7 linked regions of the Oryctolagus cuniculus genome follow. The protein of the gene in region 1 purifies or fractionates together with the protein of each later gene. This does not show direct contact. Links are inferred from orthologs where the notes say so. Each region holds a gene or a part of one and is shown in the gene's direction. Other genes may lie near its edges. The genes, in order: DHX15, SF3A2, TFIP11, SF3B3, FUS, CHERP and SF3A1.

Evidence for each region.
Region 2: the proteins of DHX15 (region 1) and SF3A2 purify together in Homo sapiens (affinity purification with mass spectrometry; 4 studies listed by BioGRID and IntAct, with this or other methods). This does not show direct contact. The link is inferred for Oryctolagus cuniculus from reciprocal best matches to the Homo sapiens genes DHX15 and SF3A2.
Region 3: the proteins of DHX15 (region 1) and TFIP11 purify together in Homo sapiens (co-immunoprecipitation; 4 studies listed by BioGRID and IntAct, with this or other methods). This does not show direct contact. The link is inferred for Oryctolagus cuniculus from reciprocal best matches to the Homo sapiens genes DHX15 and TFIP11.
Region 4: the proteins of DHX15 (region 1) and SF3B3 purify together in Homo sapiens (co-immunoprecipitation; 4 studies listed by BioGRID and IntAct, with this or other methods). This does not show direct contact. The link is inferred for Oryctolagus cuniculus from reciprocal best matches to the Homo sapiens genes DHX15 and SF3B3.
Region 5: the proteins of DHX15 (region 1) and FUS purify together in Homo sapiens (affinity purification with mass spectrometry; 4 studies listed by BioGRID and IntAct, with this or other methods). This does not show direct contact. The link is inferred for Oryctolagus cuniculus from reciprocal best matches to the Homo sapiens genes DHX15 and FUS.
Region 6: the proteins of DHX15 (region 1) and CHERP purify together in Homo sapiens (co-immunoprecipitation; 3 studies listed by BioGRID and IntAct, with this or other methods). This does not show direct contact. The link is inferred for Oryctolagus cuniculus from reciprocal best matches to the Homo sapiens genes DHX15 and CHERP.
Region 7: the proteins of DHX15 (region 1) and SF3A1 purify together in Homo sapiens (co-immunoprecipitation; 5 studies listed by BioGRID and IntAct, with this or other methods). This does not show direct contact. The link is inferred for Oryctolagus cuniculus from reciprocal best matches to the Homo sapiens genes DHX15 and SF3A1.

The regions. Positions count from the first base shown.
Region 1 is NC_091433.1:19,757,184-19,760,825, reverse strand, and holds part of DHX15 (ATP-dependent RNA helicase DHX15), read left to right. Parts: intron 1-1,726; coding exon 1,727-1,945; intron 1,946-3,642.
Region 2 is NC_091447.1:59,110,265-59,114,402, forward strand, and holds the start of SF3A2 (splicing factor 3A subunit 2), read left to right. Parts: upstream 1-1,313; 5' UTR 1,314-1,469; intron 1,470-2,093; exon of another isoform or gene 2,094-2,200; intron 2,201-2,491; 5' UTR 2,492-2,525; coding exon 2,526-2,651; intron 2,652-2,758; coding exon 2,759-2,830; intron 2,831-3,220; coding exon 3,221-3,267; intron 3,268-3,452; coding exon 3,453-3,562; intron 3,563-3,828; coding exon 3,829-3,878; intron 3,879-3,988; coding exon 3,989-4,129; intron 4,130-4,138. Other genes in the region: PLEKHJ1 (pleckstrin homology domain-containing family J member 1), read right to left, coding at 25-141, 230-293, 424-514, 588-654, 744-811, 890-983. UniProt on the Homo sapiens protein: Component of the 17S U2 SnRNP complex of the spliceosome, a large ribonucleoprotein complex that removes introns from transcribed pre-mRNAs.
Region 3 is NC_091452.1:20,273,443-20,277,084, reverse strand, and holds part of TFIP11 (tuftelin-interacting protein 11), read left to right. Parts: intron 1-1,267; coding exon 1,268-1,395; intron 1,396-2,617; coding exon 2,618-2,770; intron 2,771-3,642. UniProt on the Homo sapiens protein: Involved in pre-mRNA splicing, specifically in spliceosome disassembly during late-stage splicing events. Intron turnover seems to proceed through reactions in two lariat-intron associated complexes termed Intron Large (IL) and Intron Small (IS).
Region 4 is NC_091449.1:56,650,843-56,654,484, reverse strand, and holds part of SF3B3 (splicing factor 3B subunit 3), read left to right. Parts: intron 1-787; coding exon 788-962; intron 963-2,025; coding exon 2,026-2,231; intron 2,232-2,315; coding exon 2,316-2,472; intron 2,473-3,642. UniProt on the Homo sapiens protein: Component of the 17S U2 SnRNP complex of the spliceosome, a large ribonucleoprotein complex that removes introns from transcribed pre-mRNAs.
Region 5 is NC_091450.1:6,013,770-6,017,946, reverse strand, and holds the start of FUS (RNA-binding protein FUS), read left to right. Parts: upstream 1-1,366; 5' UTR 1,367-1,468; coding exon 1,469-1,481; intron 1,482-2,820; coding exon 2,821-2,845; intron 2,846-2,948; coding exon 2,949-3,103; intron 3,104-3,806; coding exon 3,807-3,951; intron 3,952-4,145; coding exon 4,146-4,177. UniProt on the Homo sapiens protein: DNA/RNA-binding protein that plays a role in various cellular processes such as transcription regulation, RNA splicing, RNA transport, DNA repair and damage response. Binds to ssRNA containing the consensus sequence 5'-AGGUAA-3'.
Region 6 is NC_091447.1:64,914,100-64,917,741, reverse strand, and holds part of CHERP (calcium homeostasis endoplasmic reticulum protein), read left to right. Parts: intron 1-497; coding exon 498-635; intron 636-717; coding exon 718-869; intron 870-1,893; coding exon 1,894-2,038; intron 2,039-2,120; coding exon 2,121-2,210; intron 2,211-2,515; coding exon 2,516-2,846; intron 2,847-3,475; coding exon 3,476-3,642. UniProt on the Homo sapiens protein: Involved in calcium homeostasis, growth and proliferation.
Region 7 is NC_091452.1:23,652,980-23,656,621, reverse strand, and holds part of SF3A1 (splicing factor 3A subunit 1), read left to right. Parts: intron 1-1,167; coding exon 1,168-1,375; intron 1,376-2,448; coding exon 2,449-2,706; intron 2,707-3,642. UniProt on the Homo sapiens protein: Component of the 17S U2 SnRNP complex of the spliceosome, a large ribonucleoprotein complex that removes introns from transcribed pre-mRNAs.

The DNA.
Region 1 (3,642 bases):
CAGGTCTCCTGCATGGGTTAACAGGACGCAAATACTGCGACCGTCTTCCACTGCTTCCCCAGGAGCATTTGCAGGGAGTGGGATCAGAAGTGGAACAGCTAGGAACATAACTAGCACTCAAGTGGGATGTCAGTGTTGCAGGCAGTAACTTAGAGCACATACCGGCCCCAGTAATATATTTTTATGGCATATCTTACTAGTTTCTGATCCTTTCTTTTGGCATATTAATTAATTTATTTATTTGAAAGAGAGTTTCAGAGAGAAAGAGAGTGCTTCCATCTGCTGCTTTGCACCACAGATGGCTGTAAGGGCTGGAATGGGCTGATCTGAAGCCAGGATCTTCCAGGTCTCCCACATGAGTACAGGGGCCCAAACACTTGGGCAATCTAATTCTGGATTCCCAGGCACATTAGCAGGGAGCTGGATCAGAAGTGGAGTATCTGGGGTTTGACCCAGTGCCCATATGAGATGCTGGAGCCATAGGCAGTGGCTTTACCCACCATGCCACCGTCCTGGCCCCTTTTAGCATATTTTTGTAACTGTTGCTCACCTTGTCTTTCATCCCTTCATTACGTACAAGAGGGCTCATTTCTTTAAGCAGTGTCTTTGTTGCTCAGATTCCTGTCATCTCAGCCCTCAAAATCACTGATAACGCTGGAACAACTACCAGGACAAGCACTCATCAGAAGGACATTTGTTTACACTTGTGTCTTCCTTTTTTTTTTCTCTCTCCTATACCGCTTAGATCTTGGCCAGGGTTGCCGTGTTAAGGGTTTAAAGCTGACTGAATATTTTCTGACATTATCTTATCAGTCCTTTGACATATAATTTCATAAGTGGTTTTTTTTGACAGAGTGGACAGAGAGATAGGTCTTCCTTTGCCGTTGGTTCACCCTCCAATGGCCGCCGCGGCCGGCACACTGCGCTGACCCGAAGGCAGGAGCCAGGTGCTTCTCCTGGTCTCCCATGGGGTGCAGGGCCATCCTCCACTGCACTCCTGGGCCACAGCAGAGAGGTGGCCTGGAAGAGGGGCAACCAGGACAGAATCTGGCGCCCCGACCGGGACTAGAACCCGGTGTGCCGGTGCCGCTAGGCTGAGGATTAGCCTGTTGAGCCGCGGCACCAGCTAGTTTTGTTTTTAAAATTTTATTTATTTATTTGAGAGGCAGAGTTACAGACAGTGAGAGGAGAAGCAGAAAGGTTTCCTTCCATTGGTTCACTCTCCAAATGGCCACAACGGCCATAGTTGAGCTGATCTGAAGCCAGGAGCCAGGTGCTTTTTTCCGGTCTCCTACGTGGGTACGGGGGGCCCAAGGACTTGGCCCATCTTCTGCTGCTTTCCCAGGCGAAAGCAGAGAGCTGGATTGGAAGAGGAGCATCTGGGGACTAGAACCGGCGCCCATATGGGATGCTGGTGCTGTAGGTGGAGATTAACCTACTGTGCCACCATGGTGCGGGTCCCCAAGTTTTGGTTTTGAAAGTGTTGGTTCATGTAAATTTACATGTTTAATGTTTTACTTAAAATTTTTAAATAATTTGTAATAAATAACATAACTTGCTGTAGTTCAGGCTTTTCTGCATTTGATATTTAAATCACAGTGTATTTGAAATTTTTAAGCTTTATAATAGATAACAATGAAAATATTTTTACCTTTACTATTCTGTTTTTTGAGACCATGTAAGAACCCTTGAAGACAATTTCAAGTAGTTTACTGTTTTCTTTCAGGTGATAGTTATGAGTGCTACTCTGGATGCAGGAAAATTCCAGATTTACTTCGATAACTGTCCACTCTTAACTATTCCTGGGCGTACACATCCTGTTGAGATCTTCTATACTCCAGAACCGGAGAGAGATTATCTTGAAGCAGCAATCCGAACAGTGATCCAGATTCATATGTGTGAAGAGGAGGAGGGAGATCTTCTGCTTTTCTTAACTGGTCAAGAGGTATTGTCATTGTTTCCTTCGTTAATAGCCTTTGACACATTTCTATCAAGCAGCGGCCTTGATTTAGATATTAACTATATTTTTCTTATCCCGTTGTTTGAAGTTTTTCTTCAACCTGATTGTACTAACATATTAAACATGACCCTTTTATTTATGTACTCTGGGAAATTTTTTTTTCTTTGGCGACTGATTGTGTTAATTATAGCAAGAGTGTTAAGTGCTTTTAGAATTTCAGGATTTAGCAGTTGTATCAATTTTGATGCAGCCTGGGTTGTGTTATTTTGCTGATGCATGAATTGGAATCCCAGCTCCTGTAAAATCATGCATTTCTTCAATTCAAAATTGGTTGTTTTGGTTATGAGTGAAGTTAGGTGTCCATCCACCCTCAAAATGTTTGTCTTCTTTTTGTTCGTTCTTTTGCATGTGCTGAGGATTGAAGGGATCAGTGAAGTTTCCTAGTTAGAACTTCATTTTTAGACAACAGATTTTCATGTGTAGTAGCTTTTCTTTTTTCAGAAGTTTTTCATTTGAGAGGTAGAGTGACAGAGATATCTTCCATCTGCTGGTTTACTCCCCAGATGGCATTAAGGACTGGGCTAGGCCAGGTGGAAGCCAGATTTCAGGAACTCCATCCTGGTCTTCCACAAGGATGGCAGGGTGCCAGGTACTTAAGCCATCTTCATTGTTTTCCCAGGCACATTGATGGAGAGCTGGATAGGAAACAGCAGCAGGGTTTTGAACTGGCAGTCTGATATGGGATGCTGATGGCTGCTTCACCCACTAGACTACAGTGTTTGCCCCACAAGTGTACTATTTCTATTTTTTTTTTTAACAGGCAGAGTGGACAGTGAGAGAGAGAGACAGAGAGAAAGGTCTTCCTTTGCCGTTGGTTCACCCCCCAATGGCCACTGCGGCCGGCGCACTGCGGCCAGCGCACCGCGCTGATCCGATGGCAGGAGCCAGGTGCTTTTCCTGGTCTCCCATGGGGTGCAGGGCCCAAGTACCTGGGCCATCCTCCACTGCACTCCCGGGCCACAGCAGAGAGCTGGCCTAGAAGAGGGGCAACCGGGACAGAATCCGGCGCCCCGACCGGGACTAGAACCCGGTGTGCCGGCGCCGCTAGGTGGAGGATTAGCCTAGTGAGCCGCGGTGCCTGCCTACTATTTCTATTTACAGCAGGGCATTTATAGGTATGCTATTAAATTCTTCAAAGGCTAAATGCAAGAAAAGCTATTTGGATAAAACAACATTTTAGGAAACCATTTCATAGAGATTGTTATGAGCTTTTTTTCTTTTGATCTCATGGGCCTTGTGAATTTTCCAGAATATAATTTTTTCTTTTAACTATTTCTTTGTTTGAAAGGCAGTGTTACAGAGAGGCAGTGGCAGAGATAGAGTGGGTAGCAAGAGCGAGCTTCTATCTGCTGGTTCACTCCCCAGATGGCCTCAAAGGCCGGAGCTGGGCTGTTCCAATGTTTGGAGCCAGGAGCTTCCTCCAGGTCTCCCATACGGGTGCAGTCCTTGGGCCATCTTCTGCTGCCTTCCTATGCCATAGCAGAGAGTTGGATTGGAAGTGTAGCAGCTGGGACTCCAACTGGCGCTTATATGGGATGTTGGCACTGCAGGTGGCAACTTTATCCGCTATGCCACAGTGCTGGCTCCCAGAATATACTTCTGAAGCTAGTATTCATGGAGAC
Region 2 (4,138 bases), on another chromosome or scaffold:
CACGCAGGCTCGGCCGGGCCGGGGTCAGTCCAGCGCGTCCAGCCCGGGCCCGGGCCCGGTGCCCGCCGGCCGCCCGTCGCTGGGCGGGCTGCTGATCTGGAAGCGGGCCTCCGCGGAGATCCCGAACTGCTCCAGGGGGTCCTAGGGCGGCGGGCGGGGAGACGCGGTGACCCGGGGCCCGGGGCCGGGAGCCCCGCCCGCCCGGCCGCCCCGCACGCGCCCCCCGCACCTTGCCCGTCATCTTCTGGATCTCATTCCGGTAGAAGATGAGGCTCCTCCGCATGACCTCGTAGCTGCGGGAGAGGCCGTGCCCGCGGGGTCAGGCCGCCGCCCCCGCCGCGCCCGCCGCGCCCGCCGCCCCCGTCGCGCCCGCCGCGCCCGCCGCGCCCGCCGCCCCCGCCGCCCCCGCCGCCCCGGCCCCACCTGGCCCTGCGCAGCGCCTCCGTCCACTGCCGGCACTGCTCCTCGCTGCCGCACTCGAACACGTACTTCCTCTCCGGGTCCTCCAGGAAGCCTGCGGGAGCGGCCGCTGTGGGTGCCCGCGCCCGCCCCGCGCCCGCGCCGCCCCGCCCGGCCCGCGCACTCACCGATGGAGAAGCTCCGCGCCTCCTCCTGGGCGACCCGGCAGCGCTCCAGCAAGAGGGCTCCGACGGGCTGCGGGCACACGCGCCGTGAGCGGGGCCGCCCCGCGCCCGCGCGCCCCGCGCCGCGCCCCGCCCCCGCGCCCCGCGCCCCGCGCCCACCTCGGCCTCGTCCGTGCGGAAGTAGAAGAGGAAGTTCACCACCAGCTTCACCAGGCGCCGCTTCAGCACTGCGGGCACACAGCGGGCTCAGGGCGGCCGCGCGCCCCCGCGCCCCCGCGCCCCCGCCCGCGCCCGCGCCCGCTCACCGCTGCCCTTCTTGGGGCCCCGCATGCCCAGCTCAGCCGCCATCTCGGCCGGCTGCCGGGACAGCGCCTGCAGCTCCTTCTCGTTGTAGCGCATGGCGCCGGCGCTGCCCGGGACCGGGAACGCGCGCTGCTAGCTCTGAGCCCTCTCGGCCGCCGTCCCCGCTCGCGCCAGAAAGATCCCAGGTCGGAGCCCCGGAAGCGCCATTGCGCCTGCGCGCCACGGGCGAGTCTTGCGCGCTGCGACCGCGGCGTGCTGGGGCGTGGGTACACGCCGGGCAGCCGCGACACAGCCGCGGAATAAAGTGGGTCTGAGGCGCAAGCAGGATCGAAGGACCGCCGAGCGCGGGCGGACGGGGCGTTACCGGTTCCCGCCCCCGCCCCCAAGAGCCGACGCGGGTGCGCGCGCGGAGCGCGTTGTGCGCAGGCGCGCCTCGGGCACGCGCATGCGCACACTCGAGGGCCCGTCCTCCCTCCGGAAGTGCTGCGAGCGCCCGCGCCGCGCGTGCGCACTGCGACGTCGTGGCGGCGGCTCCTGAGGCGGACGGCGGAGGCCTGCGACGCGGGGCGCGACCCACACGAAGTAGGCGCGGGGGCCATCGGGGCCCCGGGGCGCCCAGGGTGGGCTGGGGGCGCGGGAGGGAGGGGCCGGGGCGGGCGGCGGGCCCCACGGCGACCCCGGCCCTCCGGAACTCCGCGGCGGGCGTCGCGGGGGTCGCGGGGGTCTCGCGTCCGTCCGGGGCGGGCTCCGGGGTCCGGGGAGCGGCCGCGGGCCTTCGGCTGCTCGGCGGGGCGGGCCCGGGCCGCGGGGCCGCGCGCGGGGGTGCGTGCCGGCGTTCCCGCCAAAAGCCGCCGGGACCCCCGAGGCCGCCCCCGCTGGCGCCTTTGTCGTCGTGGGGGTCGGTCGCGGGCGCCCGGGGGGCTGCGGGGCGTCCCGGGTGCGGACGGCGATGCGGCTGCGTCTTAGATTTCCCTCCCGCAAGCCTGCGTGCCCGGGGCCGCGTCTTCCCCTCGGTCCGCTGTCCGACTGTCCCTTCGCGTGGTTCCCCCTCCCCCAGCCCTGAGGTCCTGGGTTCGCGTCCCGATGGAGGGGCTGTGGGGCCGCCAGGGCTCGTGCGTGGACCGCGGGCGGGCCCGGGTCGCCCTGGGGTCAGCCGGGGGCGGCTCGTGCGTGGACCGCGGGCGGGCCCGGTAGCGCCCTGGGGTCAGCCGGGCCGCCCGCGCCGTGCCCGGAAGTCGGGGTCGCAGGGGCGGGGTCTCCTCCCGCCGGTCCAGTCCCCGGAGGCCGGGCCGGGCCGGGCCGGGTCAGAGCAGGTGCGGGGCCCGGGCCGGCAGCCAGGACTCGGGCCAGTGCCCGAATGGGGCCCGAGCGGCCCCTGCCGTCCACGGGGAGGCCCAGCCCTGGCTTAGGGGCATTGGGGAGTGGACGGCGGGGGGGCGCCAGGCGGTCGTCCGCGCCCCCGTTCTCCCCGACGCCCGCGGCTGGGCCCGGCGGCTGACACGGGAGAGCCCGCGTGGGTGCGCCCGGGAGGGGCTGGGGGCTGCCTCCTGGGGTCTCCGGCCCCCGCCGCGTCCTGAGGGCCCCCCCCGGTCTGGGCTCCGCAGGCTTCTCCGGCGCTGAGGTCCGCAGGCCGGCACCATGGACTTCCAGCACCGCCCCGGCGGCAAGACCGGGAGTGGGGGCGTGGCCTCCTCCTCCGAGAGCAACCGGGACCGCCGCGAGCGCCTGCGGCAGCTGGCCCTGGAGACCATCGACATCAACAAGGTAGGGCCGCCCGCCCGCCCCCCCGCGGGGCGCCCCCGACGCCCCCGACGCGCCCGACGCCCCCGACGCCCCTGACGCCCCTGACGCCCCGCGCCGCTCTCCCCCAGGACCCCTACTTCATGAAGAACCACCTGGGCTCCTACGAGTGCAAGCTGTGCCTGACCCTGCACAACAACGAGGTACTGGCCGGCCTGGTACCCTGCCCCCGCCCCTGCCTGCCCCCGCCCCGCCCACCGGCCGGCCTGAACCCCTCGCCCCCGCCCCGCCCACCGGCCGGCCTGGCCCCCCCCCTCCACCGGCCGGCCTGATCCCCCCCCTTCCCGCCCTGTCCACTGGCCGGCCTGGTCCCCCGCTCCTGCCTGCCACCGGCCTGGCCCCGCCCCCAGCCGGCCTGATCCCCCCGCCCCCGGCCTGACCCCCGCCTGCCGCTGCCCCACCCCCCGGCCGGCTTGGTCCCCCCCTCCCGCCCTGTCCACTGTTCGGCCTGGTCCTCCCCCACCCCGCCTGCCGCTACCCCGCCCACCGGCCTGGCCCCGCCCCCGGCCTCATGTCCCGCCTCCTCCACGCAGGGCAGCTACCTCGCACACACTCAAGGGAAGAAGCATCAGACCAACTTGTGAGTGCCCCCCGCGCCCCCCGGCTGTGACACGGGGGAGGGCCCCTTGACCCGCCCCCCAGCCGCAGGGCCCCGCCCCTCACCCCCCCCGCGGGAGCCCAAGGCCGGGCAGGGGGGCTCCTGCACCTGCGCCCGTGGCCTTGGCCTGGTGTGGAGGACCACAGCGCCCGTCTGCCCCGCCCCAGGGCCCGGCGCGCAGCCAAGGAGGCCAAGGAGGCGCCCGCCCAGCCCGCGCCCGAGAAGGTCAAGGTGGAGGTGAAGAAGTTCGTGAAGATCGGACGCCCTGGCTACAAAGGTGAGGGGGCGGGGCCGCCCGACACCAGCCCTGGGCGGGGGGGGGGGGGCAGGCGGGGACAGGCGAGGCCCTGGGCAGGGAGGGGCAGGCGGGGACAGGCGAGGCCGTGGGGCTGTGGGCAGGCGGGGTCCTGGGCACGGAGGGGCAGGCGGGGCTGTGGCGTGCAGCCCTGGGCCGGCCCTCTGAGCTGGGACCTGGGCCTCACCTGCCGCCCTGGGCGGGACGTGGGGCTGCGGGGGGGCCCCTCACCGGCCCTGGTGTTGCAGTGACCAAGCAGCGGGACACGGAGATGGGCCAGCAGAGCCTGCTCTTCCAGGTGGGCGGGGCCGCGGGGTCGGGGGGGGGGCCGCGGGGGCGGGGCCGGGTGGGGGCTGCGGGGGCGGGGGGCAGTGGGGGCTGGGGGCCCCTGACACTGCCCGCCCGCAGATCGACTACCCCGAGATCGCCGAGGGCATCACCCCCCGGCACCGCTTCATGTCGGCCTACGAGCAGAGGATCGAGCCCCCGGACCGGCGCTGGCAGTACCTGCTGATGGCCGCCGAGCCCTACGAGACCATCGCCTTCAAGGTAGGGCCC
Region 3 (3,642 bases), on another chromosome or scaffold:
TGAAAAATCCGCCTAGAACCTTGGATTCTGCCTGAAGTGGTTTGCTGAGTCAGCCCTGAGACGCCCCACTGCAACACAGCCTGTAGCACAGGTTTGCAGCCCACCCCACTGCAACGCGGCCTGTAGCACAGGTGCGCAGCCCACCCCACTGCGACATAGTCTGTAGCACAGGTGCACAGCCCACCCCACTGTGACGCAGCCCCTGTCGCACGTTCGCATTTCCTGGGTTGCACAACCACCCTAGTAAGCAGTTGGATTCTTCCTGCAAGAACTTTTCCCCGGGCAGTGACCGAGGGTGTAATTAAGAGTGAAGCCTGTGGTTCCAATTCCAGTCTCTTTTTAGTAGTTGGCGTAAATCTGTGTTGTGTTGAGAACACGAGCATGAGTGAGGCAGGGCTGGTGACCGGGAGGAAGAGTGAGACTTCCCCAGCGCTAGGTGGGAAGCAGGGAGGGGAGCAGTTTTTGAAAAGTTGTAATCCTGTCTAAATCCTTTTATGAGAGAAACAACCTGCACGAGTATTTCTGGGGCTTCAGTGTGTTTCTGAAAAGCTCAGTGTGGGGACATCAGCTAAGAAGTGCAGCAGGGGCGGCGTCTTGTGCCGCATCTTGGGCTGCCGTTGTGGGGCAGGGGTAAGCCTCTGCTTGCAACACTGGCATCCCACGTGTCCTGGCTGCTCCACTTCCAGCCCAGCTCTCTGCCAATGTGCCTGGGAAAGCTGCAAAAGGTGACCCAAGTCCCTGGGCCCCTGCTGCCATCCACGTGCGAGACCCAGGTGGAGTTTCAGGCTCCTGGCCTTGGCCTGGCCCTGTCTTAGCCGTCGCAGCCAACTGGGGAGGAAGCCAGTGGATGGAAGATGTGTCATTCTCTGTCTTTCACATAAATAAACGCCACATCTCCATGAAGTGCACCTGTACTTCAGAGTCCGTGGGTACATGTTGTCTGAATCCCTGCACTTTGCCTGATGGAAGCTTCCAGAGGAGTGAAGCGGGGAATCGAGTGTGCCGGCGCTCTCTGTGATAAGTGATTTGTGCTTTCTCCCATCCACGGTGCAAGCCTCTGGTTGGGACATGAGTTACGTGAGGTCAGCAGGCTGTTGTGTGATCACATAAGTGCTGGACGTTTCCAATGGCCTGGGCCTGGGCAGGGCAGGGCTCTCCTTGCTGGGGACCGTGCTGCCTGTTGAGGGCAAGGCTGCTTGACATCCCCGAGTGGTTTATTCACATGAATTGCTGCCGTCTGAGCTCTCTGTCTTCTGACAATCGACAGGCATCATAAACCCCATCGAAGCCAAACAGAGGAAGGGCAAGGGAGCCGTGGGGGCCTACGGCTCGGAGCGGACCACGCAGTCCCTGCAGGACTTCCCCGTGGTGGACTCGGAAGAAGAAGCCGAGGAGGTGAGTGGAAGGCAGGCCTCGGTGTCCTGTGCCGTGGCGGGCGGCCGACTGCTCCTGCGTTCTGTCAGGCCTCGTGCTGTCCGGGCTGGGCTTCGAGCCCGTTGGATGGAGACACACAGTAAGCCAGCAGCTCCACGTGCTTAGGGATGCAGGCTGTGCTGGAGACGAGGAGGTGACAGGAGGGGCAGGGAAGGGGCGTGGCCCAAGTGTAAGGCACAGGCTGGGACGGAAGTGATCTCTGATCTCAGGAAGGAAGGAGTCCCACTGAGATGTGGCTCAGGGAGGGGTGGGGCGGGGGTTGGAGGCGTTTGGGTTTCACCCAGAGTGCAGGAGGAGCCACCTGCTGGCAGCTGTGCTGCTGACAGAAGGGGTGGGGCGGCTCTCCACAGAGAGCGGGAAGGCAGGCGCCGCAGGGGAGCGCCTCGCTCGTGTCGTCACCAGCCTCCTCGTGAGCAAGGACACGCTGGACAGTGTGGAAGTGACAGGTCTGAGTCGGGCTCTCAGGCTTCAGAGCTGACGGGCGTGCACGCCACGAGCCAGGTGCCAGGCTGTAGGGGGTGGTGGGGACTCGGGCACACAGCTGAGGACGTAACTTGTGGAAAGCCGCTGTTCGTGTTCGGCGCTAGGCACTTGTTGCCATGACAACACGAGCTTGGGATTGCCTGATCTGATTCCCCCAAAGCCAGCAGACGTCCAGATAGTGTCTGAGAAAATAAATTATGTGTGTAAACCAGTGTGAGAAAAGTGGAGGGACAGCCACACCGTCAACTTCTGAGGGCTGCGCCGTGCCATCCTCAGGCCGGCTTGCTTCCTCACTTCTCTTCAGATCTCCCTGCAGAGGGGTTTTATACACCCGAGTGTCAAGTGGATCCTCACCTTGAGACTTGTTTATCATTTTAATCAGAACCGAGGCTTGGGGTACTCCTGAAGTCCTTCCTGTTGCATTTCTGAGTTTCGCACGCGCTCAGTTTCACACCAGCAGAGCCTGCCCACAGTGATGCCCAGCGGGGTGGCCTTATCTCTGGATCTCCCAGCAGCACGGGGCTGCTGCCCCGCCTTCCGAGCCTCATTGTCTGTAAGAGGCTGGGTGGCTGCAGCGTCACAGCCTTGGTGTGGAGTTGGGGTGAACGTGAGAGGCTGCCCTGTGGTGTCAGTGGTCTTCGTCCCACAGGCTGTGGGAAGTGCTGTTTCCTGTGTGACCAGTGGTTTCCCTGGGGTTTAGGAGTTTCAGAAGGAGCTGAGCCAGTGGAGGAAAGACCCCAGCGGAAGCAAGAAGAAGCCCAAATACTCCTATAAGACGGTGGAAGAGCTGAAGGCCAAGGGCAGGGTCAGCAAGAAACTCAGTGCTCCCCAGAAGGAGATTTCGCAGGTCAAGGTACGGGGCTCCGGACATCGGGTTCAGGAACCACAGAAAGCAGTCCCACAGCCCAGAGGCCGCCCCTCACTGCCTATCCCTGAGCTTCCTGGGGGCTTCAGGGCCTCGTGCGTGGAGAGGGCAGCGCTCCTACTGTGGCCCATGACAGTGCCACGCTGCTCTCGTTACTCTAGGTTTAGTATGATCATCCAGTTACACTCCGTCAGTTGTTCCTCACGGCAAGGGGTGATGACCTTGGTCACATCCCCATCACAGCAGTGGTGACCCAGGTCACATCCTCGTCATACACAGTGGTGGTGACCTTGGTCACACTCCCATCACACACAGTGGTGGTGACCTTGGTCACACTCCCATCACACACAGTGGGGTGACCCAGGTCACGCCCCCGTCACACATAGTAGAGGTGACCCAGGTCACGCCCCCGTCACAGTGGTGGTGACCTTGGTCACGGCCCCATCACACACAGTGGTGGTGACCTTGGTCACGGCCCCCTCACACACAGTGGTGGTGACCTTGGTCACGGCCCCATCACACACAGTGGTGGTCACCCACGTCATGCCCCCATCACATACAGCGGTGGTGACCCAGGTCACGCCCCCAACACACAGTGGTGGTGACCCAGGTCATGCCCCCAACACACAGTGGTGGTCACCCACGTCATGCCCCCATCACATAAAGCGGTGGTGACCCAGGTCACACCCCCAACACACAGAGGTGGTGACCCAGGTCACGCCCCCGTCACACCCAGTGCTTCCCCAGGGTGTGCATTAGCTGGAAGCTAGAATTAGAATCAGAACCTGGACTTGAACTCAGACACTCTAGGAGATGAGGGTGTCCCAGGTAGCAGTTGAACCGCCGCAGGGAGTTCCTGA
Region 4 (3,642 bases), on another chromosome or scaffold:
AACCCAACTCTAGCCATTCTGGCCATTTGGGGAGTGAACCAGCAGATGGAAGACCTTTCTCTGTCTCTCTCCCTCTCTCTGCCTGTAACTCTTTCTCTCAAATAAAATAAATAAATTTTTTTTTAAAAAAATGGATATGCCATATTTTAGGTATTCTTTATTTAGGTGGTGCTGTTTTGCTTTGAACAGTGCTGCAGTGAAAACTCTGATACATGTGTTATTCCACATGTGTGTGAATAAGTCTAGAAAAAAGTATTTGTTATTTGAGTAAGTTACATTTGGCTTCTGTTTTCTTTGTTGATGCATCTGGGAAATCTGAGATCTTGTCTTAACTCTTCGCTCATTTTGTTACTGGCTCCACATGTTTTTTCAGCTTCCAAAATTTTATTTGGCATTTCATATCTGCTGTCATCTTCTGTTTCATTCTCTTTGAAGATTTTTCCCTTTTAGTGAATATATATACGACAGTTAAAACTCCACCATTATAATCAGATAACTATTTGAGTTGTTTTTCCAGGTTTCTCAATGATAATTAAAATATTCTCACTGTCCCATTATTATTGGAGTGACAGAAAATTTCTTTGATAATCATTATATGTGTTTTATTGGGTTAAAAACCCAGAATCCCCGTGAGTAGTGGTGGGGTGTCGATCTCCTTGTTTTATTTGTAGACTGCTTTTAGATTAGAACGCTGCTGTTTGCTGACGTCTCAGGGGCTGCTGTGCTTGCTCGTTTCATTGCTAATGGCTCCCAGGTCCTGAGTTAACCCCCTTGGCCTTTGTCACAGGATTTTGGCGCTGGAGAAGCTTGGTGCTGTCTTCAATCAAGTAGCCTTTCCACTGCAGTACACCCCCAGGAAATTTGTCATCCATCCTGAGAGTAACAACCTTATCATCATTGAGACAGACCACAATGCCTACACTGAGGCCACAAAAGCTCAGAGGAAGCAGCAGATGGCGGAGGTAATAGGACTGACGTTCTGGGGTTTGGTTAAAAAGTGCATGTGTAAAATTGTGTTGAAGTTGAAACTCCTGTAATTGTTGATGATATTCCTTGTTATTTCTGTAAAATTTTTGAAGTTCTTTAAGCTCTTTGGTTTTAGAGGCTTTGCTGTGATCCAGGACTAATACGCTGACTTGGGTTTATTTGAAATTCCAGCTGCTCCTCTGGAAGAGTTCTTTAGTCAGTTTTAGTCAGTCCGTGGGTTTCAAACTGAGTTGTTACATTTTTCCTAGATATGAGCCCCTAGGAGACAGCTTTTAGATTCCCTACAACACCACTTGTAGAAATCATTTCCCAGGAAAAACCAAATAGCCACAAACATTTAGAACTGTATTCATTCTGAAACATGAGTAGTCCTAGCAAGGGAAGTCAGGTAGGTTAGGTTAAAAAAAAAATGGAGCTTTCATGTTTAATTTTTATTTTTTAAGATTGATTTAATTTTGGAAGGCAGAGCCAGGGAGGGAAAAGGAGAGAGAAAGAAGGGTCTTCCATCTGCTAGTTCATTCTACTAATGGCTCCAGCAGCCAGGTGTGGGCCAAGCTAAAGGCAAGAGCCGGGATCCCTGTCCTGTCTCCCATGTGGGTGGTAGGGGCCCAAATATTTGAGCCATCCTTCACTGCCTCCCAGGTACATTAGCTGGAAACTGGATCAGAGGCAGAGTAGCTGGGACTCAGATTAGCGCTTCAGGAAAGGATGGGGTAGAGCAAGCAGCAGCTTAACCCATGATCCACATTGCTGCCCCATGTTTGTTTCGTAGACTTCTAGTTTGATGTTTGCTACAGCTAATGTTTTTTTTTTTTTGTTTGTTTTTTTTTTTTTTTTTTTTTTGGGTATTTTCTTCTAATATGTAGCTGTATGTAACTGGTGGTAACTGCTTTTCTCTTCAGTATTCTTCCTTCTTAGCCTTGTTTGTGACAGTCTTGCAATGTTAAGCAGGAGCTGAGTCTGAAAAGTGTTCATTACTCCACTTCCCATGCAGTTCTCTCCTGGCCACACTGACGTTCCTTTGCTTTTTGGATTTAGGAGATGGTGGAAGCAGCAGGGGAGGATGAGCGGGAGCTGGCTGCGGAGATGGCAGCAGCATTCCTCAATGAAAACCTGCCGGAATCCATTTTTGGAGCTCCCAAAGCTGGCAATGGCCAGTGGGCATCTGTGATCCGAGTGATGAATCCTATTCAGGGGAACACCCTGGACCTTGTCCAGCTGGAACAGAATGAAGCAGCCTTTAGGTAAAGGGTTCAGGACAGTCCAAGGTTTGGTGAGTTCTCTGGCTTTGACTGAGGCCTGACTCCTGTTTTTTCCTCTGTGTGCAGTGTGGCTGTGTGCAGGTTCTCCAACACTGGTGAAGACTGGTATGTGCTGGTGGGTGTGGCCAAGGACCTGATTCTGAACCCAAGATCTGTGGCAGGAGGCTTTGTCTATACTTACAAACTTGTTAACAATGGAGAAAAATTGGAGTTTTTGCACAAGGTAAGGAACTAGCCTGTGATTGTCTTGGTTATTAGATTCTACTGAATTCTCCCACAGTTTTTTGGTGTTATGAGTCAGTTCGCCTTGTGGTCAGTATGTTGATTCTTTCCTTTTTAAAAAAAATTGTTTGAAAGGCAGAGCAACAGAAGGAGGACTAGAGAGAGAGATAAATCTTTTATCCACTAACTCATTACCTCAGGTGCCCGCAACAGCGAGAGTTGAGCCGTACCAGAACCAGAAAGCTGATCTAAGTCTTCCACATGAGTGGCAGGAAGCTGGATTGGAATTGGAGGTGGGACTCAATCCCAATCATTCTGATGTGAGATATAGGCAACCCAAGTGGTAGCTTAACCTGCTGTTCCACAGCTCTCACCCATTGTTGTTTCTAACCCATCTTTTGGCAGTACATGAGAACTGCTAGGGCTTTCCTGTTTCAGGGATGCTCCAGTGCCCATGAGTCCTACAGGAAGCCTGAGTGCTAACTGCGCACAGCGGAGATAAGGCACACACTGAGTTGACCCCTTGTTTACTGTCTATAAAGCAGTCAGCAATTTGTGGCCAAAATTCACCAGTTTTAAAAGATTAATAGAGGGGCCAGTACTGTGGCATAGCAGGTAAAACTGCCGCCCACAGTGCCTGCATCTCATATGGGCACCAGTTCAGTCTCAGCTGCTCCACTTCCCATCCAGCTCTGTGCTATGGCCTGGGAAAGCAGTAGAAGATGGCCCAGGTGCTTGGGCCCCTGTACCCGTGTGGGAGACCTGGCAAAAGCTCCTGGCTTCAGATTGGCACAGCTCTGGCCATTGTGGCCATTTAGGGAGTGAACCAGTGAATGGAAGACTCCGACTTTCTCTCTCTCGCTCTCTCTCTCTCTGTCTTTCTCCCTCTCTGTAAATCTGCCTTTCAAATAAAATAATAAATCTTAAAAGATTAATAGTTGTAAACAGTCAACATCATGGTGGTTGTGCTTCAGATTCCTGTATCTTATATCAGAGTGCCTGAGTTCAGGTCCTGGCTGTGCTTCTAATTCCACCTTCCTGCTAGTGCACATCCTGGAGGGCAGCAGATGATACCTCAAGCTCTTGGTCCCTGCCACTCATGTGGGAGACCTGGATTGAGTTTTGGGCTGCTGTCATTGGCCTGGCCTACCCTTGACTTAAAGTGATTTGT
Region 5 (4,177 bases), on another chromosome or scaffold:
GCTTGGTGGCAGGGTATTCAAGAGTCATCCAACAGTACGAAGTCTGTGGGCTTGCCTAGAGCAGAACCCCTGTATCTTATCTGTCTAGATGCTCAATCTACAAAGAAATGTCTGGAACCCAGAGCAAAGTTTGGTTGGGAAGGAAAATCTACAGTCGCACATGTACCAGGAATAATCTTTGTCTGATTTGTTGGAAAAGATTCAAATCCCCCTCCCTAGGCAAAGCTGATCAGAGTGCAAGGTGCAAGTTAATTTGAATTTTGCCCCCCCCCCCCCCCCGCCTTCATTCTCACAGGAAACGGAACAGGCTTTCAAAATTCTATAAATAGTTCAGGTAACCAACAAAGACCTAGTGGTGTAGTGACCTGGACCTGGATTCGAATCACTGCCCCTCGCTCAGCTGCCTGTACAAACACGGATTGCGCAGGCTCTCCCAGGAGCTTCGCTTTTCTCGTCTCTACAATGGAGATGCCTTTTTTACTTTCTTCACCGGTTTTTGATGAGAAGGATGTAAAACTGCGCATGAAACTACTGAAGTCGTATGCCAATGCATTATCCCCAGTATCTCCACGCGGGTTCCGCGGAAGGGCTCAGAATGAAGAGTGTAGGTCGTCGTCGGGAAAGGGGCGGGGAGGGGGGACCCGTAATCTGATAACGGCAAGGCTAGCTGGGGTCGGAGGGGGGCCCGGGCTTTCCCGCCCCACGGTCCTCCAGGGGCAGAGCCACGAGGGTTCTGCCGATCGCTCCGCGCTGCATGAGGGCCCAGAGATCCAGGCTCAACTCCATGCTTGCTTTCCGGTCAGATGTCACAATCTATAAACCCCACTGAGGACTAACGCAGAGGCACCCTCAAGACGCTGAAGCGAAAGCCGAGACGCAGGGAAGGAGAGGGTCGCTGCGATGGCTGAGGGAGCAACGCTACAGCTCGCAGACAGGAGGGTGGCGCCCTATGCGGCAGAAAGGCAGCGGAGGAGGGGCTCGCCATCCCGAGTCAAAGTGAGGCCCGGGCGAGAGGGGCCAACCAGAGGAATCTCGGTTCCCACACCTCGACTCCCGGCCTTGACTACGGTTCCTTCCGCAGACGCCCGGGGCCTCGGCCCCGCCTCTAACGTAATCAGACCGTACCATGTCTCTCTTATAGGGGTAGAGAAGAATCGTAGGCTAGGCCTGCAGAGCGAAGGTGAGCTATTGATCAGAGAAAACATGATGATATATATTCTCTTATATGTATTAGTTAGTTTTTTTCCTTCTTTCTGCTGGGACCCTCGACCCTCCCCGGAAGGTGGTAGGAGTCCGGCCCTGCTTCCCCCCTTCGTTTTCGGCGGTTGGTACGTCCCCCCGCGGTACGTGGGCGGGGAGGCGTACATAAGCCTCGACGCAGGAGGCGGGGCTGCTCAGTCCTCTAGGCGTCGGTGTTCCGAGGTGTCGGAATCTTGTTGCTTGGCGGCCTGTGCGCGCGTGCGCGGAGATGGCCTCAAACGGTATGTAAGGGCGCGAGGCAGCGGTGGCGCGCCGCTCCGGAGGGCCTGGCTTGCTCTCTCCTAGCTGGGCTTTTGATTTTTTTCAGTGGGGCCAGGGCGGCGATCGCGTGTAGGATATTTTCGAACCCCTGTGGCGGGAAGCCCGCGGAGAGGGGCGGAAGGGGGGGCGGGAGGCTGTTGTCGCCATTTTGTTTTGCTCCTCTGGCGCGTTTCGTGCGGGGCGGGAAGTCTTCCCTCCGTTCCCTTGGATGAGGTGGGGGGAGGACGCTTTTCAGCGAGTTCGAGTCTGTGGTAGCGGGCGGAAATGCCCAGGTTCCCGGGCCCCCCCACCCCCTCCACGCCGCGCTCGGGCCCGCTTTGTCGCAGTGCTGCATCCGGGCACTCGGTGCGCGCACGCGCCTTGCGGGCCCCTCCCCCGTGCTCGCGGCGCCGATCCTCCCTTCCCAGCCTCGTGTCAGGCCGGCTTTTTGTCGCGAGACCCTCGGTAGCGGACTCGGCGGCCCGCCTCCGGCGTGGGCCTCGCCCCTCAGGGTCCCACGGGAAGGGGCGGGACCGCCGCGTTCCCGCCTCGGTTGCCACGCGGCCGGGGGCGGATGCTCGGGATCGGGGCCGCGCGCCCGGCCTAACGGTTGAGGGGGGCGTCGGGGAGATCCGCCAACGGTCTCGGGGGCCGAGTCCGAGGGTTTTCCCGCCTAAATTTTCTTTTTCCCCGAATTGGGAACGGGCGTCCGAGGCCACACCCTTCCCCGATCCCTTTGCCGTTTCCTGCGGCGGGAAGCGCCTGGGTTCCTGGACTGAGGGCAGGAGTTGATCTCGCTGCTGCGTCTCGAATGTGACGTCCTAAAAGCGCTTTTCGGTACCTTTTGGGTTGCGGCGGCTCCTCCTGTCTGAGAAGTCGGCAGGAGTCGATGAGAGCCTGTTGGAGCCCCAGGCCTGGGGACTTGAGCACTGATCGAATTGATGAGGGGCCTTGTCGTTTGGCGTCACAGGACCTCTGCTTTTTGGTTGCTTGGCTTTGCTTTAAGACTCCCCTCTGCTTTTTCTCCCAAGATTGGCCAAGGGGCGGAGAATGGCTATTGTTTTTTGGTGCCCACTTAGGAACTCCGTGGCCTTTGTCATGGAGTGGGTGTGACCGGGACAGGGATGGGACAGGTTTTCTAGCAGTTCCTCAAGCGAGTGGAGTTTGCATTGAGAAAGAGTCTGGTGGGGCGTTGGTGGCCAGCAGGGCAGCAGTAGGCTGGTGGGTTTCCTGGCTCCGATGCCCCAGTTCTTGGGTTAAGGAATAGACCTGGCAACCCCTTTCTTGACCCTAACGTTGATTGTCTTTTCTCTTCATCAGACTATACCCAGCAAGCAACCCAAAGGTGAGTGCCGTGTCTGGGCTTCTAGAATTCCTAGCGGGCAAGGGTGGTTGAGGTCATTTTCTTGACTGCACCCTTTTTCTTCTTTTTTCTTTTTCCCCTGCAGCTACGGGGCCTACCCCACCCAGCCTGGGCAGGGCTACTCCCAGCAGAGCAATCAGCCCTACGGACAGCAGAGTTACAGCAGCTACGGGCAGTCAGCAGACACTTCAGGCTATGGCCAGAGCAGCTACGGTTCTTCTTACGGACAGACCCAGAACAGTGAGTCTGTCTTGGGCGGGGGGGTCACTCTGCCTTGAAACCCTAAGCAGTGCTGAAGTGGTGAATCTCTCATGTTTTTTCCCCTTTAACCCTAAAACTTCTTGGAGTCTGCAGTCTTTTCCAGTGAAAATGCTTCCTTCCTTGCTTTTAATCGTTTCCTTTTTTCCTTTGACTTTTTGTTTATGCTGTACCTTTTCTCTGTTTCCCTGCTAAGCATGAGGGCATACTCCCTAAAGAGAGTGCCAGTCTTAGGCTGATTCTTAGTGGAGAAAATGGTCTTCTTGTCTGAAGTCCCATTACTGGGCATCACGGGATACGCCAGGAGAAGGAATTTGCCCCCGAGTTCTGAAGTGAAAATAATTCATGTGGGTTTTCTTGTGTATGGTGTACTCATACCAGCATATTAAAACGTGGTTGACACAGAGGGATATTTTGAATAAGATTCCAGTCTTGGAGACTGGCTTTAGGATAGGTGGAATAAAATTGGAACTGTCTTTAAAAAGTCAGTAGGAGTTAGAACATTAACCTTAGAGTTCAGAAGAATGTCCTTTCCCTGGCTGGGAGTTGCAGGATTTACTAGCAGTTGCTAAGAGGTATGGATGAACATAGGTAGAGTATGTTTTTTTTTTTTTTTTTTCAACCCTTCCCATGCCTTTGTTTCTTCATAGCTCTCGTGACTCCCTTGCTTTGTTTTTCTTCGTAGCAGGCTATGGCGCTCAGTCAGCTCCCCAGGGGTATGGCTCAACTGGCGGCTATGGCAGCAGCCAGAGTTCTCAATCATCCTATGGGCAGCAGTCTTCGTACCCTGGCTATGGACAGCAGCCAGCTCCCAGCAACACCTCCGGCAGGTAAGGTGTTTGTGTGCCCGCAAGATGAGGGGTGAATTGCTAAGGAAAGAAGGCAGAGCACTAGGAGCCATTAGGAGGCGCAGTGTGTGGTGGGGGAAGGGAGGCCTGTGTTGGTAGGGAGGAGGGGATGTGCTGAAAGTGAAAGGAAGTTGTGGGCATGCCGGGGTTCTGATTTGCCTGTGTGTTTCCCGTAGTTACGGCGGCAGTTCTCAGAGCAGCAGCTATG
Region 6 (3,642 bases), on another chromosome or scaffold:
AGAGAGGTCTTCCATCCGCTGGGTCACTCCCCAAATGGCCGCAATGGCCAGAGCCGGGCTGATCAGGAGCCAGGAGCTCCATCCGGGTCACCCACGTGGGTGCAGGGGCCCAAGCACTTGGGCCATCCTCCACTGCTTCCCCAGGCCACAGCAGAGAGCTGGATGGGAAGAGGAGCAGCTGGGACTCGAACTGGCGCCCCTATAGGATGCTGGTGCTTCAGGCGGCTTTACCGTCCTGAGCCAGGCCGGGGGCCCTGCTCACACAGCCCTGTCCCTCCCGGGAGCCACAGCCAGCCCGTCCACTTTCTTAAGTCCTCCTGAGATGAGAGGGCGTTGCCTTGAAGGGCAAAGACCCCCGAACGCTAGTGAGGTTGTAGGTCAGGACCCAGATGTCTGCCGGCCTTGCTGGGACTGCCGCCCGCGCCTTGCTCCCAGAGGGTGACGGTGGCCCAGCGGGCGGTCCCCCTGCCGCTCACGCAGCCCGCCCCGCCCCGCAGGAGCAGGTCACGGCGGCCGTGGCCCACGCCGTGGAGCAGCAGATGCAGAAGCTGCTGGAGGAGACGCAGCTGGACATGAACGAGTTCGACAGCCTGCTGCAGCCCATCATCGACACGTGCACCAAGGACGCCATCTCGGTGAGGGCGGCGCCGGGGTGCGGGCTGGCGGGCGCAGCCCCGGGCCTGCCGCGCCCCGCTCACCGCAGCCCGGCTGTCACAGGCCGGCAAGAACTGGATGTTCAGCAACGCCAAGTCGCCGCCGCACTGCGAGCTGATGGCGGGCCACCTGCGCAGCCGCATCACGGCCGAGGGCGCGCACTTCGAGCTGCGGCTGCACCTCATCTACCTCATCAACGACGTGCTGCACCACTGGTGAGCGCCGCCGCCCCCCGGCGCGGCTGGCCCCGGGGGTGTGGGGGGAGCCTCAGTGCCGGGCCCCTGGGCCGACCACGCCCACTCAGTCACCTGGCTACTCGGCCACGCCCCTCGGGGCCCCTGGGCTGACCGCCGTCCTGCGCGGCGCTGCCGGCCACTTGCGTGTCTCTGGCGAAGGTTAACGAGAGTAACCAGACACCTGGGCAGGGCAGGGCTCGGCTGGTGAGAGACACATGCGTGCGAGAGCTTCCGAGCGTGGCTGGGCTGGCGGGGAGGGCCGAGTTAGCCACAGGGCCCCCCATGAGTGTGACAGAAGCTGGCCGGGCCTGTCACCCACGCATCCCAGCCCAGGTCCCCCGTGCTGTGCAGCACGGTGTTGGCTCCACCGCGGGAAATGAGCAGCCACCGCCAGCTCCCTCCGGCGCCTCTGCGGGCCAGGCCTCTCGCCCTTCGTCGGAAGCCGAGGGCCGCTTCCCCTCCCCGTCCTTCCCGGCCCCCGGCCCTTTGCTCAGCACTGGGGGTGGAGCCGCTCACCCCTGCCCTGCGTCCCTCCCTGGCTCAGCCACCACCCTGCTGCCCCCTCCCCCGTGCACTGCGGCGCACAGCGCGTCCCCGGCCAGTGCTGCTCAGTGGCCCTGAGGACACGGGACTGGGCCCGTGGCCAGAGGGTCCTCGAGGCCTGAGGGTCAGTGGCTACCCTGCCTTCCCTCCAAGAGGCTCGGCCGCGTGTTGCCTCGTGCACAGCAAGTGACAGGGACGTGGCCCTGCCCCCCCGGCCCCGGGGCACCCTGTGTGGACACTCGGGGCTGTGTCGAGGCCCCGCGGCCACCCCAGGAGGGACGGGGAGCTGGGGGAGAGGCCTGGCTCCGGCCGGCCCGGGCTGCAGCCTCTCCCTCCTCCCCTCGCGGCCTCGGGAGCGCAGCCGTCACCCCGCAGGGTTGGGGGCCGTTCCCGGAAAAGGCAGAGGGTGCTGTGGCCGGAGCCGCGATGGTAACGGGCGCGTGGCCGGGTCCCGTCCCAGGGCCCTGACGCGCGGAAGGTCTCTCCCTCACAGCCAGCGCAAGCAGGCCCGGGAGCTGCTGGCCGCCCTGCAGAAGGTCGTCGTGCCCATCTACTGCACCAGCTTCCTGGCCGTGGAGGAGGACAAGCAACAGAAGATCGCGCGGGTCCGTGGGCGCCGGGGGCGGGGCGGGGCCCGGCCGGGGAGGGCGCGCCAGCCCCTCACCGCCTCCCCCTCCTGCCCCGCAGCTCCTGCAGCTCTGGGAGAAGAACGGCTACTTCGATGACTCCATCATCCAGCAGCTGCAGAGCCCGGCGCTAGGGCTTGGCCAGTACCAGGTGCGGCGAGCTCCGAGGGGCTGCCTGTGGCGGCTGCCCGGGCCTGGGGGAGCTCAGACGCGGTGTTGCCTGTTTGTTTCGGTTTCTGGAGTGGGGTCACAGTGGTCCCAGGCTGGGCGTGTGGAGACAGCTCACGGACTCGGAGCTGGGCCCACGGCCGTGCCTCCCTGGAGGGCTGGGGGCTGAGCTCTCCGCGTTGACCCCCGTCCTCCACGTGGGGAGTCGAGGAGGGCCGGGGGCGTGTCCAGCTAGCGGCAGCCCCGCCCGCCTGCCCCGGTCCCTGACCGGCGGCGCCCTTCTCGCAGGCCACGCTCATCACCGAGTACTCGGCGGTGGTGCAGCCGGTGCAGCTGGCCTTCCAGCAGCAGATCCAGACCCTGAAGACGCAGCACGAGGAGTTCGTCAACAGCCTGGCCCAGCAGCAGCAGCAGCCGCCGCCACAGCCGCAGCCGCAGCCGCAGCTTCAGATGCCGCAGATGGAGGCCGACGTGAAGGCCACGCCGCCGCCGCCCGCTCCGCCTCCGGCCCCCGCCCCGGCTCCAGCCCTGCCGCCGACCACCCAGCCCGGTGCGCGGCCCCCGGCCCCCTCGGCGGGCTGCCCCGGGGCCCCGGCCACCCCAGCAGCCACCCAGCCCGGTGCGCGGCCCTCGCCCCCTCGGCTCCCTTGGTGGGCTGTCCTGGGAGGGTCTGTGGTCCCGGGCCAGGGGACGCCCGCAACTCCTTCCTTGTGCACTGTCCTGGAGAAGAGAGTCTGGGACGAGGACGCGGCGCTGGTGCTGAGCGAGCGTGGCGCGGGGGGCGCGGTCCTGATTAACACCGAGTGAAACCGCAGAGAATCGGGGGGCAGGGGGTGCGGCCTGGACGCCCCTAACCCGACACCTGGAACTCTGAGCATCGCGCAGCCTCAGAAGAGTTGGATTTCGGGTTAAGGCTGCTTGGCCAGTAAAATCTCCCAGCATCCGCGGGACCCCAGCCCCGGGGTAATACGCGGCCGTCCCGGGAGCGCCAGGGCAGTGCCCCGCCAGGAAGCCCGGGAACAGATTCCACAGGGAGACGGCCCCCTGCCAGATAGGCCCAGGTGTTTATTTAACCAGCGCCCATAGCAGCCGCTCCAAGGAGCCGCACGTGCTCTCCCCCTTCCTGGAAGTCACTCGGAAGCAGAGGCCCTGGCCCGGTTGGCTCTGGCTCTGGGTGGGCATTGAGGGCCCCCTGCCCTGCAGCGCCTCCTGCTGGCGGCGCTCTAACTGCCTCTCGCCCGGATGCAGACGACAGCAAGCCAGCCATCCAGATGCCCGGCTCCTCGGACTACGACTCCGCGGGCGGCGTCCAGGACCCTGCAGCCGCCGGCCCCCGGGGCCCTGGGCCCCACGACCAGATCCCACCCAACAAGCCGCCGTGGTTTGACCAGCCCCACCCTGTCGCTCCCTGGGGC
Region 7 (3,642 bases), on another chromosome or scaffold:
TAGACAGTGGAGACACAGCAGCAAGTCTTAGCGCTCCGACCAGGCATGATCAGGTCATCTAATTCTCGTGTGTCTCAGTCCTTCTCATCACCCACCCAGAGGGCAGAGTCTCCATCTGGGGCTAGTATTTCTTCAAGCTTCTCTAACACTTGCTGTATCTCCCCTGTTAACTAAGAGAATTAGTCTCAGGAAACTTGCGGCTGAACATTGACAGTATTGTTTTGTTCTCATTGTATTCACTTTTGCTTACCTTTTGTTATAAAGGGTTACTTCAAGAAGTAATATGTATCTTCCTTTTTTTAAACAGAATTTTCTTCTGACTTTGTTTATTTAAAGATTTATTTATTTATTTGAGAGGCAGAGGCAGAGAGAGAGAGGTCTTCCGTCCATTGGTTCACTCCCCAAATGGCCGTACTGGCCAGAGCTGCAACAGTCCAAAGCCAGGAGCTTCTTCCGGATCTCCCATGCAGGTTCAGGGACCCAAGGACTTGGATCATCTTCCACCACTTTCCCAGGGCATAGCACAGTGCTGGATCGGAAGTGGAGCAGCTGGGACTAACTGGTGCCCATATGGATGCTAGCACTGCAGGTGGCAGCTTTACCTACTACACCACAGCTCCAACCCTGTCTTTTTTTAAAAGACAAAAGCAGGGGTGGGTATTGTGTCATAGCATCTCATATGGACGCCAGTTCAAGTCCCAGGTATTCCACTTTGATCCAGCTCCCTGCTAATTCACCTAGGAAAGCAGGGATTGGGCCCCTGCACTCACATGGGAGACCTGGAAGAGGCTCCTGGCTTCTATCTTAGATCTGGCCCAGCCCTACCCATCGGGGTCACTTGGGGAGTGACCTTGCGGATAGAAGATCTCTCTCTCTCTCTCTCTCTCTCTCTGATCTTCCTCTCTCTCTGCCTCTGTGTGACTGCCTTTCAAATAAACAAAATGAATATTTGAAAGGTAAAGAAGACAAAAGCAGTAGCGGTGGAGGTTTTGGAAGTGGCTGAATTGGCTGAGGAGCAGAACACGATGGAGGGCCGGGGTGCACTGTGGTGGAGTCGTCGGCCAGGAGGCCCTGAGGCAGATGGCATTGGCCGCTGGTGCCTGGAGGCTTGAGGGGCCAGTGTTTTGTGTCTGAGCAGTCACAAGGGTTCTTTTTCCCTCCTTCCAGAAACGGGCCTGAGTTTGAAGCCAGGATACGACAGAATGAGATCAACAACCCCAAGTTCAACTTCCTGAACCCCAATGACCCTTACCATGCCTACTACCGCCACAAGGTCAGCGAGTTCAAGGAGGGGAAGGCCCAGGAGCCCTCAGCCGCCATCCCCAAGGTTATGCAGCAGCAGCAGCAGGCCACCCAGCAGCAGCTGCCCCAGAAGGTTTGGAGCTCAGCCCCCACCCTACACTTCCCCGGGGCCAAGAGGGAGGTGAGCACGGGGATGGGTGCATGATTAACTGTGCGGTCCAAGCTGTTAGCCACCTTACACAGGTAGACCCGTAGAGTCTCTCCGAGAGGTCCCAGTGACAGTTGGCATTCCCTGAGCCCTGCTCCCCAGGATCCACGATCAGTGCCCTAGGAGCCGTGTCAGTGACTTCCCAGGGGTTGCGTGAGGTCGGCAGAGCGATTCTTTGACAGTTGAGGGTTTGGGGGGTGTAGCTACCCAAGGCTTTGACCGTGAGTGCTGTGGTATGGGAAGGACCTCCTACCTGGCTTTGCTGAAGGGAGCAGTGGGGCCTGTGGGGCCCTCCTTGTGCCATCCCTTCCCTTCAGTCTTTCCCAGGGCCCTCCCCTCTGACCGCCGTGCTGCCAGCCTCCCTGCGCTGGGCTCAGGAGGGACTGTTAAGTTGTGAATGAAGACGGGAAGGGCCAGCATGCTTTGCCTCCTGTGTGGAACCGGACTGGTCCCTTCACCTTGCTGTACTCCGAACCGTGGTGGAGAAGACAGCCCCTTGTTTTGTAGTGGGATGTAAAGGCTGAAGTCGGGTTCTAAAACCTTGTGTTGCAACTTCCTGCTCCGAGGGCCTCAGGCTGCCTCCGCGTCCTCATTTGTAAGGAGGATTCACGGTACCTGGTGTATCGCCTTGTGGTTCATGTAGAGCTAGAGAAGCACTTGCCCACTGGGATTCCCTGCGTGTACGTGGTCCTTAATGCATTTCCATCCCCCTGCTCTAATAAGCCACGTTCCTGTCAACTCTTCCACCACCCGTTTTAGCCCTCGGTTTCAGGGCAGGAGCAGAGTTACAGACAGCTAGTTAAAGCTGTTCAGGAAGTTGAGGCCACAGTTGGCTGAGAAATTGATGTTCTTTTGAGTGAGAGCACTCTCATGCCAAACACCAGTGCTGTGTGCGTGAGAACGGACACACAGGGCCCACAGCTCTCCTGCTCAGGCGTGCTCCTCCCCGCTCCCTGGAGCCAGTGCACCCTGCGCCTTACACTCCTTCTGGGTCTTAGGTCCAGGCTCAGGTGATCCAAGAGACCATCGTGCCCAAAGAACCGCCTCCTGAGTTTGAGTTCATCGCCGACCCCCCTTCCATCTCAGCCTTTGACCTGGATGTGGTGAAGCTCACGGCCCAGTTTGTGGCCAGGAACGGGCGCCAGTTCCTGACCCAGCTCATGCAGAAGGAGCAGCGCAACTACCAGTTTGACTTCCTGCGGCCGCAGCACAGCCTCTTCAACTACTTCACAAAGCTGGTGGAACAGTACACCAAGGTGCTGTGCGGGAAGGGGGGCGTCTCACCTATGGGAGCACTCAGTCCACCGGGGCATGGCTTCTCTGTGGGGCAGCTGAGCAGACCAGCTGAAGAAACGTGACATCTGTAGATTGATTCAGCTTTTCCTTTAAATGCAAATCAAACTACTTTTTCTACATAGAAGTGTGCCTGAGTTCAACGCCAGCTCCAGCTCGTGTCTCCTCTTGCTAACGCAGACCCTGAGAGGCAGCAGTAGTGGCTCAAGTACTCGGGCCCCGGCCACCCGTGTGGAGACCTGGGTTGAGCTCCTGGCCTAGCTCTGGCCATCGTGGGCATTTGGAAAGAACCAATGGGATAGGAGCTTCCTTTCTGTCTCTGCTTCTGAATTAAATAAATTATTTTTTAAAAAGTTGTATCCTAACAATACTGATAATTAAAATCATCAGATCTTTAATTCATTGCAAAGGAAATCAGTAACGATTGGTTTTCTTGTTACATTTTTAAAGAGATTTGTATATTTGAAAGAGAGAGCGAGATCCTCCATCCACTGATAGACTCCCCAGATGGCTACAGTGGCTGGCCGTGGGCCAGGCAGAATCTAGGAGCTTCTTCCAGGTCTCTCCTGTGAGTGGCATGAGCCATTTTCCACTGCTTTTCCAAGCTGGTAGCAGATAGCTGGGTTGGAAGTAGAGCAGCAGGGACTTGAACAGGTACCCGTATGGAATGTTGCATTGCAGGAAGTGGCCTTATCCTCTGTGCTACCACGCTGGCTCCACTTGCTACACTTAGTGGAGGTTGTTTTCCTTCTCATTTCAGGGGGTGATCTGCACATCTGTTCTTGGTATCTACCAACAATGTATTAAAAGTCTAACGTGAAAGGACTTGGATTTTCTCCAGCTTCAGTCATGCCAAGCATATAACTAGAAAGAACTGTAAAAATGTGTGTGTTTAGAAA